3 linked regions of the Callithrix jacchus genome follow. The protein of the gene in region 1 interacts with the protein of each later gene in a pairwise test. Links are inferred from orthologs where the notes say so. Each region holds a gene or a part of one and is shown in the gene's direction. Other genes may lie near its edges. The genes, in order: RAB6A, BICD2 and PMM1.

Region 1 (3,647 bases):
GATGAAACCCGTCTCTACTAAAAATATAAAATTAGCCAGGTGTGGTGGCACATGCCTGTAATCCCAGCTCCTTGGGAGGCTGAAGCAGGAAAATTGCCTGAACGCAGGAGGTGGAGGTTGCAGTGAGCCGAGATCGTGCCATTGCACTCCAGCCTAGGCAATAAGAGTGAAACTCAGTCTCAACAACAACAACAAAGTGCTAGGATTACAGGCATGAGCCATTGTGCCCTGCCCTTTTAAAGTTTTTTAAAAGGGGCTTTCTTTTTAATTTTTTAAAAAATTTACCAGACTACACAGATGTGGTATCTTGGGCTAAAAACAAAATCTTACATAGACAAAGGATCTGTTCATTTGGACTAGTAATATTGTTACTATACATTTTTTGATACCGCCTCAATCTGGAGTCATATCTAATAAGGAATAATTGTGCTGGCAAAATTAGAAGGTTGCATTCAAGCACTTTTTTTTGAGATAGGTGCTATATGCAGCCTTTTTTCCTTTGCACCTTTACTTTGGGTTGCTGTTTGTTTTAAAAAAAAGAAGTATGTTCATATTGTGCATTATCAAGTTTTGTAGCTTTAAAATGTTTGTGCTTACTTTAACCAAAGCAAGTGAAACCTGGTGTATTTTTTTTATAATTCCACAAATGTGATTAAAATATTAGTAGTATATTGTTTTAACTACTGTAATAAGTGTTGAAGTACTCTACTTAGAATCCAACCTTAGAAAAAATAAATTTTGTTGCAAATATTTCCTGTGCATTAAACAAATAAACTTTAGGTTAAAGTGATCACAAACTGAGGAAACGGTGCAGGCAGTGGTGTTGAAAGCTATTGAAAGGCTTTAAAAATTTTCTGGATGTGTTGGGACTTACTGGCTGACATACTTTTGAGATGCTTTCTTTGTCACGTTTGGTATGTGTAAGTGATCAAAACATTGTGGCAATGTGACACCATATTATCTGCCATAGCTGTCCTTATATTTCAAGAGGTTGTTTTTTTTTCCCAATTAAATACTACATTGTGCTCATTTGGTCATGTTCAAAAAAGTTTTTAACTACTCTTAAAAGGAACCTTGAAGATTTTATTCTTGTAATTTGTTTAAATTGCTGACAGTTGTAATCAGATAAAATGGAGTTATGTTGCAGGCACATTAAAAGTGGGGTACTAATGTGCCAGACTCCTTCCAAGTTTGAGGGCTTTTTTGGAGGGAGGTGCCCGCCACCTGGGGAGGCATTTTTCAACAACACTAACTCTCTGTCTACCCTCCTATGCCAGATGTTAACTCATTCCAGCAAACTACAAAATGGATTGATGATGTCAGAACAGAAAGAGGAAGTGATGTTATCATCATGCTAGTAGGAAATAAAACAGATCTTGCTGACAAGAGGTATGGAGTTATTTTATGTTTGTGTAATGTTTGATTTCTGTGTTATGCAGCCTTTTATTTTTGTTTACTGAAAACTTATTTCATAGGAGACATGCTTAATCCTTAAGTTTATGTCCTCCCCTACTTTTCTTTAGCATGGGAACCTGAAATACAAATGTAAACATTAAACACCCAGTCCTTAAGGGAAAATGAATTTTATTTTATTTAAGCCCATGTGTAAATAACTCTTGTGCAGGATTGTTTAGACATGAAGCCAGTAAATATTTTGCATTTTTTTAGATCTCATAAACATGAATAGTGTTTTGTTAAAGAGCAAACCCTTTGGAAAACAAGCCTTATCTTTAAAAATTATTCATAATGATTAAATGCAGACTTAGTAGTCTTCTTATAAACATTCATTGTAATTCAGTGGTGTGGGATTTTGTTTTTTGGGTGTTTGTTTTTTTTTAATTGTGTAGTTGAGCCAGACTCTGTAGTTGCACTGAATAGCTTGATTGTGATACCTTAATCAAATGAGCGAAGCGATATTCAAGTCACAGGATGTAAAATATATTAACATTCACTGTAGAACCCTTGGCTTGAATATTTGCTTTCAGCATTCTTAAGGGATTTACTGTATATTCTTTCTGCTTTAAATAGTTTTGACCATACTACTTAATAGTAAGAGCTTTTACTATTTATTATTTGTTTATTCATGAGATGGATATTGAAATTTAGGTAATGAACTTGTGATATTAATTCAAATGTTGCAAAGAAAGCCAGTGTTAAAAGACTTGTGGAGATTTCAAGCCCATTTATGCCTATGGCACTTCAGTTAGAATTGGTAGTACAGGCTCATGCGCGTAATCCCATCACTTTGAGAGGCTAAGGTGGGCGGATCACCTGAGGTCAGAAGTTGGAGACCAGCTTGGCCAACATGGCAAAAACCCATCTCTACTAAAAATATAAAAATTAGCTGGGAGTGATGGCAGGCACCTGCAATCCCAGTTACTCTGGAGGCTGAGAAAGGAGACTTGCTTTAACCCGGGGGCAGAGGTTGCATTGAGCTAAGATTGTGCCACTGCATTCCAGCCTGGCTGAGATTTCATCTCCAAAAAAAAAAAGAACTGGTAGTACAGTTGCAAAAAAAGTCTTTCTTAATTTAAAAGTAAATTCAAAGTGATTTCGTCTTAGATACCTTCCTTTTTTTTTTTTTTCTGGAGATGGAGTCTTACTCTGTCATTCATGCTGGAGTGCAGTGGTGTGATCTGAGTTCATGGCAACCTCCACACACCACCACCACCACCAACACCACCCCACCCCAGGTTCAAGCTATTCTCCTGCTTCAGCCTCCTGAGTAGTTGGGATTACAGCTGCCACCATGCCTGGCTAATTTTTGTATTTTTAGTAGAGATGGGGTTTCGCCATCTTGGCCAGGCTGGTCCTGAACTCCTGATCTTGTGATCCACCTGCCTTAGCCTCCCAGAGTGCTGGGATTACAGGCATGAGCCACCATGCCTGGCCAGTACCATCATTTTTAAATAGAAAAATTGTATATCTGAATTGTTTCCCTCTATAGCCAGAGTCATCTGAGGAGGATGGTTATAAGGATTAGTTTTTTTTATTGCTTAATATTTCAGTTGAGTACACAAATGATAGGAACTTATCAAAATTATATATATTTTTTGTTTGTTTGTTTTTGAGACAAAGTTTCACTCTTCTTGCTCAGGCTGGAGTGCAATGGCACAGTCTTGGCTCACTGCAACCTCTGTCTCCCAGGTTCAAGTGATTTCTCCTGCCTCAGCCTCCCAAGTAGCTGGGATTACAAGAGCCCACCACCACACCTGGCTAATTTTTGTATTTTTTGGTAGTGATGGGTTTTCACCACATTGGCTAGGCTGGTCTTGAACTCCTGACCTCAGGTGATCCATCCACCTTGGCTTCCCAAAGTGTTGGGATTACAGGGGTGAGCCACCATGCCCAACCCCAAATTATATTTACAATAATTTTTCTTTAAGGTAACATTTGTCAGCTGCTTTGAAATTACCATCTTTCTTGGTAATCTTTGCCAGACTATCATCTCTCAACTGCTCACATTTAAGAGAAACAGAGCTCGTTCATTCCAATGAAAATACTTCCAAATGGGTAAAAGACTTAATTTTTCTTATCATCTTTATATTTTGACCTTTTATAAACATGACATGAAATCCCGAAGCTGTAAAGGGAAAGATTGATAAGTTTGAATACATAAAGAGCATATTCACCTATTAGATCGACCA
Region 2 (3,647 bases), on another chromosome or scaffold:
GCATTTGCATCTAATGCTGGAAAACCCTCTTAGCCTCCACATCTCTGAGCAGAGCAAGCGGCCTTGGCCTGGACAGGCTACCTCCCTTCCCAGGATGGCACTTCACCTTGTGTCATGGTGGCAGGAGTTGGTGTGCTGGTGTGTTTTCTTCATTCATGGGGCCTAAAAGGAGCTTCCACATTGCCTTGACATAAGTTTTGACTTCTCTTCCCAGGTGGAGTTTGAGGGCCTCAAGCATGAGATCAAACGTCTGGAGGAGGAGACTGAGTACCTCAACAGCCAGCTGGAGGATGCCATCCGCCTCAAGGAGATCTCGGAGCGGCAGCTGGAGGAGGCGCTGGAGACGCTGAAGACGGAGCGCGAGCAGAAGAACAGTCTGCGCAAGGAGCTGTCACACTACATGAGCATCAACGACTCCTTCTACACCAGCCACCTGCATGTCTCGCTGGATGGCCTCAAGTTCAGTGACGACGCTGCTGAGCCCAACAATGATGCTGAGGCCCTGGTCAACGGCCTTGAGCATGGCAGCCTGGCCAAATTGCCCCTGGACAACAAGACCTCCACGCCCAAGAAGGAGGGCCTTGTACCACCCTCCCCCAGCCTCGTCTCTGACCTGCTCAGCGAGCTCAACATCTCCGAGATCCAGAAGCTGAAGCAGCAGCTGATGCAGGTGAGCAGGCAGTGGGGCTTTCAGCATGCTGTCCCCACTCTAACTCTGCAGGGCTCCCTGAGCAGTTCTTACCTGATACTCTGCTGATGTTAGCTTCTGTTTTCCTTACATTGGTTTTAACTTCTGCATCATTACTGTAAATGGAACTCCAGGAGCACACAGAGTCCCAGAGAAGTGCATTCCTGGCACTGCGGCATCCACGTTGTTTCCCTGTTACCTATGTGGTGCCAGGGTGAAGTGATGATACACAGGCCCCACATGTGATCCCCGCACGCAGGCCAGGAGTCAGAGGGGCCTGCCAGGGTCGTGCATGGGCTCACCTCCTGGGACATGGATCCCTGTTGATCCAAGGCAACCGAGTCCTGTCTTCTGGAGCAGAGGGCTAGGGTGCTAATATTCCCCACTACCCACCCAGCCAGCCCCAAGCTCCACCTTCTGAGCCCAGCTCGCCTGTAGCACTGGTGGGGAAAGAGCCTGCATTGAGGGTGACCACCATTACTGGTGGGCAGTGTTCTGAGAGCCCAGTGTGAATTCCATCCTTTCCTCACCCTATGTGTCTCTGTCCACCTCACTGACAGCATGGCCAAGGAACCTGGGGCTCATAGCCTGCCCTGACATGGGGTAGGATGTCGCTGGGCTATCCTGGGGGGTCCTCTAAGCTCTCGGGTTCCATAGCCACTGACATTGTGTCATGCTGCCTGTGCCTTTGCAGATGGAGCGGGAAAAGGCGGGCCTGCTGGCGACACTGCAGGACACGCAGAAGCAGTTGGAGCACACGCGGGGATCCCTGTCAGAGCAGCAGGAGAAGGTGACCCGTCTCACAGAGAACCTGAGTGCCCTGCGGCGCCTGCAGGCCGGGAAGGAGCGGCAGACGGCCCTGGACAATGAGAAGGACCGTGACAGTCATGAGGACGGCGACTACTATGAGGTGGACATCAATGGGCCCGAGATCCTGGCCTGCAAGTACAATGTAGCTGTGGCTGAGGCTGGTGAGCTCCGCGAGCAACTCAAGGCACTGCGCAGCACACACGAGGCTCGTGAGGCCCAGCATGCTGAGGAGAAGGGCCGCTACGAGGCTGAGGGCCAGGCGCTCACAGAGAAGGTCTCCCTGCTAGAGAAGGCCAGCCACCAGGACCGTGAGCTGCTGGCACGACTGGAGAAGGAGTTGAAGAAGGTGAGCGATGTTGCCGGCGAGACGCAGGGCAGCCTGAGTGTGGCCCAGGATGAACTGGTGACCTTCAGTGAGGAGCTGGCCAATCTCTACCATCACGTGTGCATGTGTAACAATGAGACACCCAACCGTGTCATGCTGGACTACTACCGCGAGGGCCAGGGTGGGGCAGGCACCAGCCCTGGGGGCCGCACCAGCCCTGAAGGGCGTGGCCGCCGCTCACCCATCCTCTTACCCAAGGGGCTGCTGGCTCTTGAGACTGGCCGAGCAGATGGTGGGACCGGGGATAGCAGCCCCTCGCCTGGCTCCTCACTGCCATCACCCCTGAGTGACCCACGTCGGGAACCCATGAATATCTACAACCTGATCGCTATCATCCGTGACCAGATCAAGCACCTGCAGGCAGCCGTGGACCGCACCACAGAGCTGTCACGCCAGCGCATTGCCTCACAGGAGCTGGGCCCCGCTGTGGACAAAGACAAGGAGGCACTCATGGAGGAGATCCTCAAGCTGAAGTCACTGCTCAGCACTAAGCGAGAGCAGATCACCACGCTGCGCACCGTGCTCAAGGCCAACAAGCAGGTGAGGCGCCAGGTGGCAGGGGCACTTGTCAGCCATTGCTGGCCTAAGGGTATTTCCCCTTGGCCTCCTTCCTCCCCCAACACAGCCCCCCCAGGCTTGTGTCACCATCAGGCACAGCCCGCTCTATATCAGCTCGGCCACTGGCCCTCCCCTGCACAGGGTCCCCACCTGGGAGAGTGGAGCAAGCAGGTGGGGAGCAAGGGCCCCTTGGCAAAGCTGCTCAGCCAGTGAGAAATGCTGCTGCCATTCACTCACTGTGACTGCCTCATAGTGCTTCCTGAGGCTAGAGGGAAAACATGTGAGAGCTACATTTGGAGAGTGATTGTGGGGCTTTGTAGGGGTCCCTTGGGCAGGTTTGGGGGCAGTCCCTCCTCTGCCAGTCAGAATGAGCAGTAGGACTCCCCATGGCACAGCTGCTGGAGTCTATCCCCAGGGTTTGTCAGAGGGAGGGGCCTCCCAGGAACTTTCTTCCCGGGCACCGCCACCACTTCAGACCAGGGCTCCCCATCCTGCGCCCAGAGCACCTCTAGGCTGACTTCCCGCCTTTCACTTGCCTGCCCTACATGTCTGTCCCTCAGACGGCCGAGGTGGCCCTTGCCAACCTAAAGAGCAAGTATGAAAATGAGAAGGCCATGGTTACAGAGACCATGATGAAGCTGCGCAACGAGCTCAAGGCCCTCAAGGAGGACGCGGCCACCTTCTCCTCGCTGCGCGCCATGTTTGCCACCAGGTAACCATGCTGCTGTTGGCCCTCCCCTTCCATGAGGCCAGCTGTCCTCTGCACTTGCCCCTGGCACCCGCAGCCTCTCACTGCCTCACCCGGAGGCCTGCAGTCTTGCCTACTCAGTTGGCTGCGCCCAGCTCCATTGGAGCCAGCATGGTACGAGATTGGGGAAGCATGGCTGCTAGCATATCTCTAGCACACTGGTGCTCAACTTAGTAACAAGAAAGGGTGAGACGATATGGGGGCCACATGGGGTTGGGGGCCTCCAGCTTCTGCACCTCAGCTTTCCCCAAGGTTACACAAGCAGGTACTGGAGCGTGGAACATGCCTGGCAGGTGGATAGCAGAGCATGTGTGATCCTTTTTCTGTTCCTGTCGCACCCAGCCCAGCCCCCAGGAACCTGGTTCTTTGGGGCCAGTTCCGTTTTGCTGTGAATGAAACCCCAGCAGGCCCAGGCTTGTCTCTGCTCTGCGTATATGGAGACTGAGGGCAGAAGGGCT
Region 3 (4,098 bases), on another chromosome or scaffold:
TCAAAAATAAAAAACAAATAAAAATACAAAACTTAACCGGGGATGGTGGCACACACCTGTAGTCCCAGCTACTCGGGAGCCTGAGGCACGAGAATCGCTTGAACCTGGGAGGTAGAGGTTGCAGTGAGCAGAGGATTGCGCCATGCACTCCAGCCTGTCTCAGAAAAAAAAAAAAAGAATCTGGGAAGCTCTCCAAGGAGGTGGACCGTGAGAGCTGGGTCTTATGTGTGGACAGAAGTTATAAGGTTCGGGGAAGGCAATTCCGCAAAGTTCAAAGCCTGAGCAAAGGCCTTCAGAAGAGACTTCTTTCTTTTTCTTTTTTTTTTTTTTTTGAGACAGAGTTTCGCTCTTGTTACCCAGGCTGGAGTGCAATGGCACGATCTCGGCTCACCGCAACCTCCGCCTCCTGGGTTCAGGCAATTCTCCTGCCTCAGCCTCCTGAGTGGCTGGGATTACAGGCACTCGCCACCATGCCCAGCTAATTTTTTGTATTTTTAGTAAAGACGGGGTTTCACCATGTTGACCAGGATGGTCTCGATATCTTGACCTCGTGATCCACCCGCCTCGGCCTCCCAAACTGCTGGGATTACAGGCTTGAGCCACCGTGCCCGGCCTCTTTTTCTTTTGTTTTTGAAGCGGAGTTTCGCTCTTGTCCCAAGTAGCTGGGTTTACAGGCATGCACCATGCCCAGCTACTAATTTTGTATTTTTAGTAGAGTCGGGGGTTTCCCTTCTTGGTCAGGCTAGTCTCGAACTTTCGACCTCAGATGATCCGCCTGCCTCGGTCTTCCAAAGTGCTGGGATTACAGGCGTGAGCCACCGCGCCCGGTCCAGAAGATTTCTTACAGCTCAAAATTTGTAAGGCAAAAGCGATCACTACAAATCTTGTCAGAGTGGAGAGAGACCCCGGCTCTCTAAGACAGGGTCGAGGCCCCGCCAGACCCAGCCCCTCGTCTGCCAAGTAGCAATCACCATCAACCCGCCAATTCTCATCCCGCCCCTGTCTTCCGGGTTCAACCTCTCACTTCCTGCCGGGCCAAGGCTCAGGCCCCGCCTCCGTCTTGTTTGGAGCAATCCAATCGAACCTAGGGGGCTCCGCCCCGCCCTATACCACGCCCCCTCCTCCAGGGGTAATCAGAATCAGCTCAGGCCCCACCCCTGCCTCGGGCCACCGAGACCACGCCCCTTATATTTTGGCTCAGTCTGCTGCCCCCGCCCCCAAAGGCCCGCCCCGTCGAATCTTAACCCTGCCCTGTTTCGGCGGCAGCATCGTTTGGACTCCGCCCGGCTCGCGTAACTGCAGCCATGGCGGTCACCCCCCAGGGCGCCCGCAGGAAAGAGCGCGTCCTTTGCCTGTTTGACGTGGACGGGACCCTCACGCCGGCTCGCCAGGTAGGACGCTGAAGTTTGGAAGCTCCCGCCGGGGGTGTCACGCGGACACACCCGAGGCTGAGTGTGGGGTCTGCAGCAGCGTGACCGTGGACACCCCGGGACCGAGTGTGGGATGTGGCGTTACCCGGCCACCTGACATCCGGGGCTGCCCACCGCGAGTAAGGGGACCTGGTCCTCCACGTCACTGCCCCTGCGGCGTCCCTGCCTGTGTTCTGCTTGGGAGTGCTGGAGTTGGATCCAATACTGGAGGGAGGAGGCTGCGAGCGGGGGGCCTACCTCCCCTCCCCAGAGGCTTTCACGCGCCACTGAGGCCTGGCTCCCGGATGCACCCCCACCCGAACCGGGGATCCCACCCTAGTTCAGCCCTACGACGCACCAGTGGTGGGAGTTGGCTTCTGAACCGGGAGTTCAGGCACACAAGCACACAGCCAAGCGTCAGTCACCATCTGGTGGGATACCGAGGATCTAGGAGCCATCCCACCTCGACCTTTGCAGGTCTGGGCCTCCCCCAGCAGAGAAGGGTTCTTTTCGAATGCTTTTATGGGCTCTACCCACCCGGAGGTGAGAGGCTGCAGGCCTAGTCTGTTTACTGTGAGGACACTGAGGCATAATGAGGATAGGATTGTAGTTTTCCTCCTAAAGGCTCTCTCTGTGTTGAGCCTCTTAACGTCTGCTCAGTTTTTCTCCCACTGGGTCTCATCCTGAGTGAGTCCCCAAAAGCCCCCTCATCAGCTGGATGCCTAAATAAGCAGGCTTCATTCATGCCCTCCCTGTGGGTAACTCACCCTCCAGTCTGGGGGCCTTAAGGACCAACTGACAGGTCTAGAGACGGGGAGCAGTGGGGATGGGTTTTACTAGGCAGTGGTTGATGGGGACCCAGGTCTTAGCCTCCTCTTTTAGGTCCTGAATGCCTTTCCCTATCCTCTATGGTGAAGTTGCCTTGGCTTGGGCCCTGGGGGCTCAAGGAATGATCAGTCCACTCTGCCTTCCTGCAGGGGTGATCCAGGAGGAAGATGGTAGGATTGGAGTGAAGGTGGGCTGGTCAAAGTGGCTCACTCCTGTAATCCTAGCACTTTGGGAGGCTGAGGCAGGCAGATCACCTGAGGTCAGGAGTTGGAGACCAGCCTGGCTAACATGGTGAAACCCTATCTCTACTAAAAATACAAAAAATAGCTGGGCATGGTGGTGCATGCCCAGCTAGAGGGACTACAGAGGCAGAGGCAGAATTGCTTGAACCTAGGAGGCGGAGGTCGCAGTGAGTGGTGATGGCCTCATTGCACTCTAGCATGGTTCACAGAGTGAGACTCCATCACAAATAAAAGAACTGGAACAAAGGTGGCAGGGCCTAGACCCAGTTCTGATACCTCCCTCTGACCTTTTGCTTTACAGACATAACAACCTGAATAAAAACAGCCTGTTAATTTTTCTATGGGCCAGGCTATGTGCTTACTGCCTTTTGAAAGTTAATTTTTAATTGTACACATATTCATGAGCACATTCTCCTGATGAAGAATGAAAACATGACAGAGAAGGGTAAAGTCTCCTCTGACCACACCAGGATCCCAGGCCTGGCCCCCTCCCCAAGGCAGTGTGGTTCAAGTGCTGTGGCTTACCTCCAGGGTTTTATCTGCTTTATCTGGATCTGTTTGCCCAGAGCAATTTTTTTTTTTTTTGGTGACAGAGTCTCAGTCTGTCACCCCGGCTGGAGTGCAATAATGCAATCTCGGCTCACTGCAGCCTCTGCCTCCTGGTTTCAAGTGATTCTCCTGCCTCAGCCTCCCGAGGAGTTGGGACTACAGGCTCATGCCACCTGGGTAATTTTTTGTATTTTTAGGAGAGACAGGTTTTTACCGTTGGCTTCTCAAGAATCAACTTGATTGTGATGCTATTTTGTTGTTAGAGACAGGGTCTCGCTCTGTCACCCAGTCTCTGGAGTGCAGTGGTGCGATCAAAGTTCTCACTGCAGCCTCGAACTCCTGGGCTTAAGTGATTCTCCTGCCTCAGCTTCCTGAGTAGCTGGGACTACAGATGAGTGTCACCATGCCAATTTTCAACTGGGTGTGCTGGCTCATGCCTGTAATCCCAGCACTTTGGGAGGCCCAGGCGGGTGGATCATCGGAGATCAGAAGTTCAAGACCAGCCTGCCCAACATGGTGAAACCCTGTCTTTACTAAAAATTAAAAAAAAAAAAAAAAAAAAATGGCCGGGCATGGTGGCTCACGCCTATAATCCCAGCACTTTGGGAGGCCGAGGAGGGTGGATCATGAGGTCAAGAGATTGAGACCATCCTGGTCAACATGGTGAAACCCTGTCTCTACTAAAAATACAAAAATTAGCTGGGCATGGTGGTGCGCACCTGTAGTCCCAGCTACTCGGGAGGCTGAGGCAGGAGAATTGCTTGAACCCAGAAGGTGGAGGTTGCGGTGAGCCAAGATTGTGCCATTGCACTCCAGTCTGGGTAACAACAGCGAAACTCCGTCTCAAAAAAAAAAAAAAATTGACTGGAGTGATGGCTCATGCCTGTAATCTCATCACTTTGAGAGGCAGAGGTGGGTGAGTCACAAGGCCAAGAGTTCAAGACCAGCCTGGCCAACATAGTGAAACCTTGTCTTTACTAAAAATACAAAACTTAGCCAGGCGTGGTGGTGGATACCTGTAGTCTCAGTTACTTGGGAGGCTGAGGCAGGAGAATTGCTTGAACGCGGGA

The links.
Region 2: the proteins of RAB6A (region 1) and BICD2 interact in binary tests that used the Homo sapiens proteins (3 or more experiments, as listed by UniProt). The link is inferred for Callithrix jacchus from reciprocal best matches to the Homo sapiens genes RAB6A and BICD2.
Region 3: the proteins of RAB6A (region 1) and PMM1 interact in binary tests that used the Homo sapiens proteins (3 or more experiments, as listed by UniProt). The two-hybrid records come from large-scale screens. The link is inferred for Callithrix jacchus from reciprocal best matches to the Homo sapiens genes RAB6A and PMM1.

What each region holds. Positions count from the first base shown.
Region 1 is NC_133511.1:67,265,565-67,269,211, forward strand, and holds part of RAB6A (ras-related protein Rab-6A), read left to right. Parts: intron 1-1,277; coding exon 1,278-1,389; intron 1,390-3,647. UniProt on the Homo sapiens protein: The small GTPases Rab are key regulators of intracellular membrane trafficking, from the formation of transport vesicles to their fusion with membranes.
Region 2 is NC_133502.1:80,574,105-80,577,751, forward strand, and holds part of BICD2 (protein bicaudal D homolog 2), read left to right. Parts: intron 1-214; coding exon 215-670; intron 671-1,382; coding exon 1,383-2,423; intron 2,424-3,001; coding exon 3,002-3,153; intron 3,154-3,647. UniProt on the Homo sapiens protein: Acts as an adapter protein linking the dynein motor complex to various cargos and converts dynein from a non-processive to a highly processive motor in the presence of dynactin.
Region 3 is NC_133502.1:190,158,134-190,162,231, forward strand, and holds the start of PMM1 (phosphomannomutase 1), read left to right. Parts: upstream 1-1,270; 5' UTR 1,271-1,304; coding exon 1,305-1,391; exon of another isoform or gene 1,392-1,931; coding exon of another isoform or gene 1,932-1,952; intron 1,953-4,098. UniProt on the Homo sapiens protein: Involved in the synthesis of the GDP-mannose and dolichol-phosphate-mannose required for a number of critical mannosyl transfer reactions. In addition, may be responsible for the degradation of glucose-1,6-bisphosphate in ischemic brain.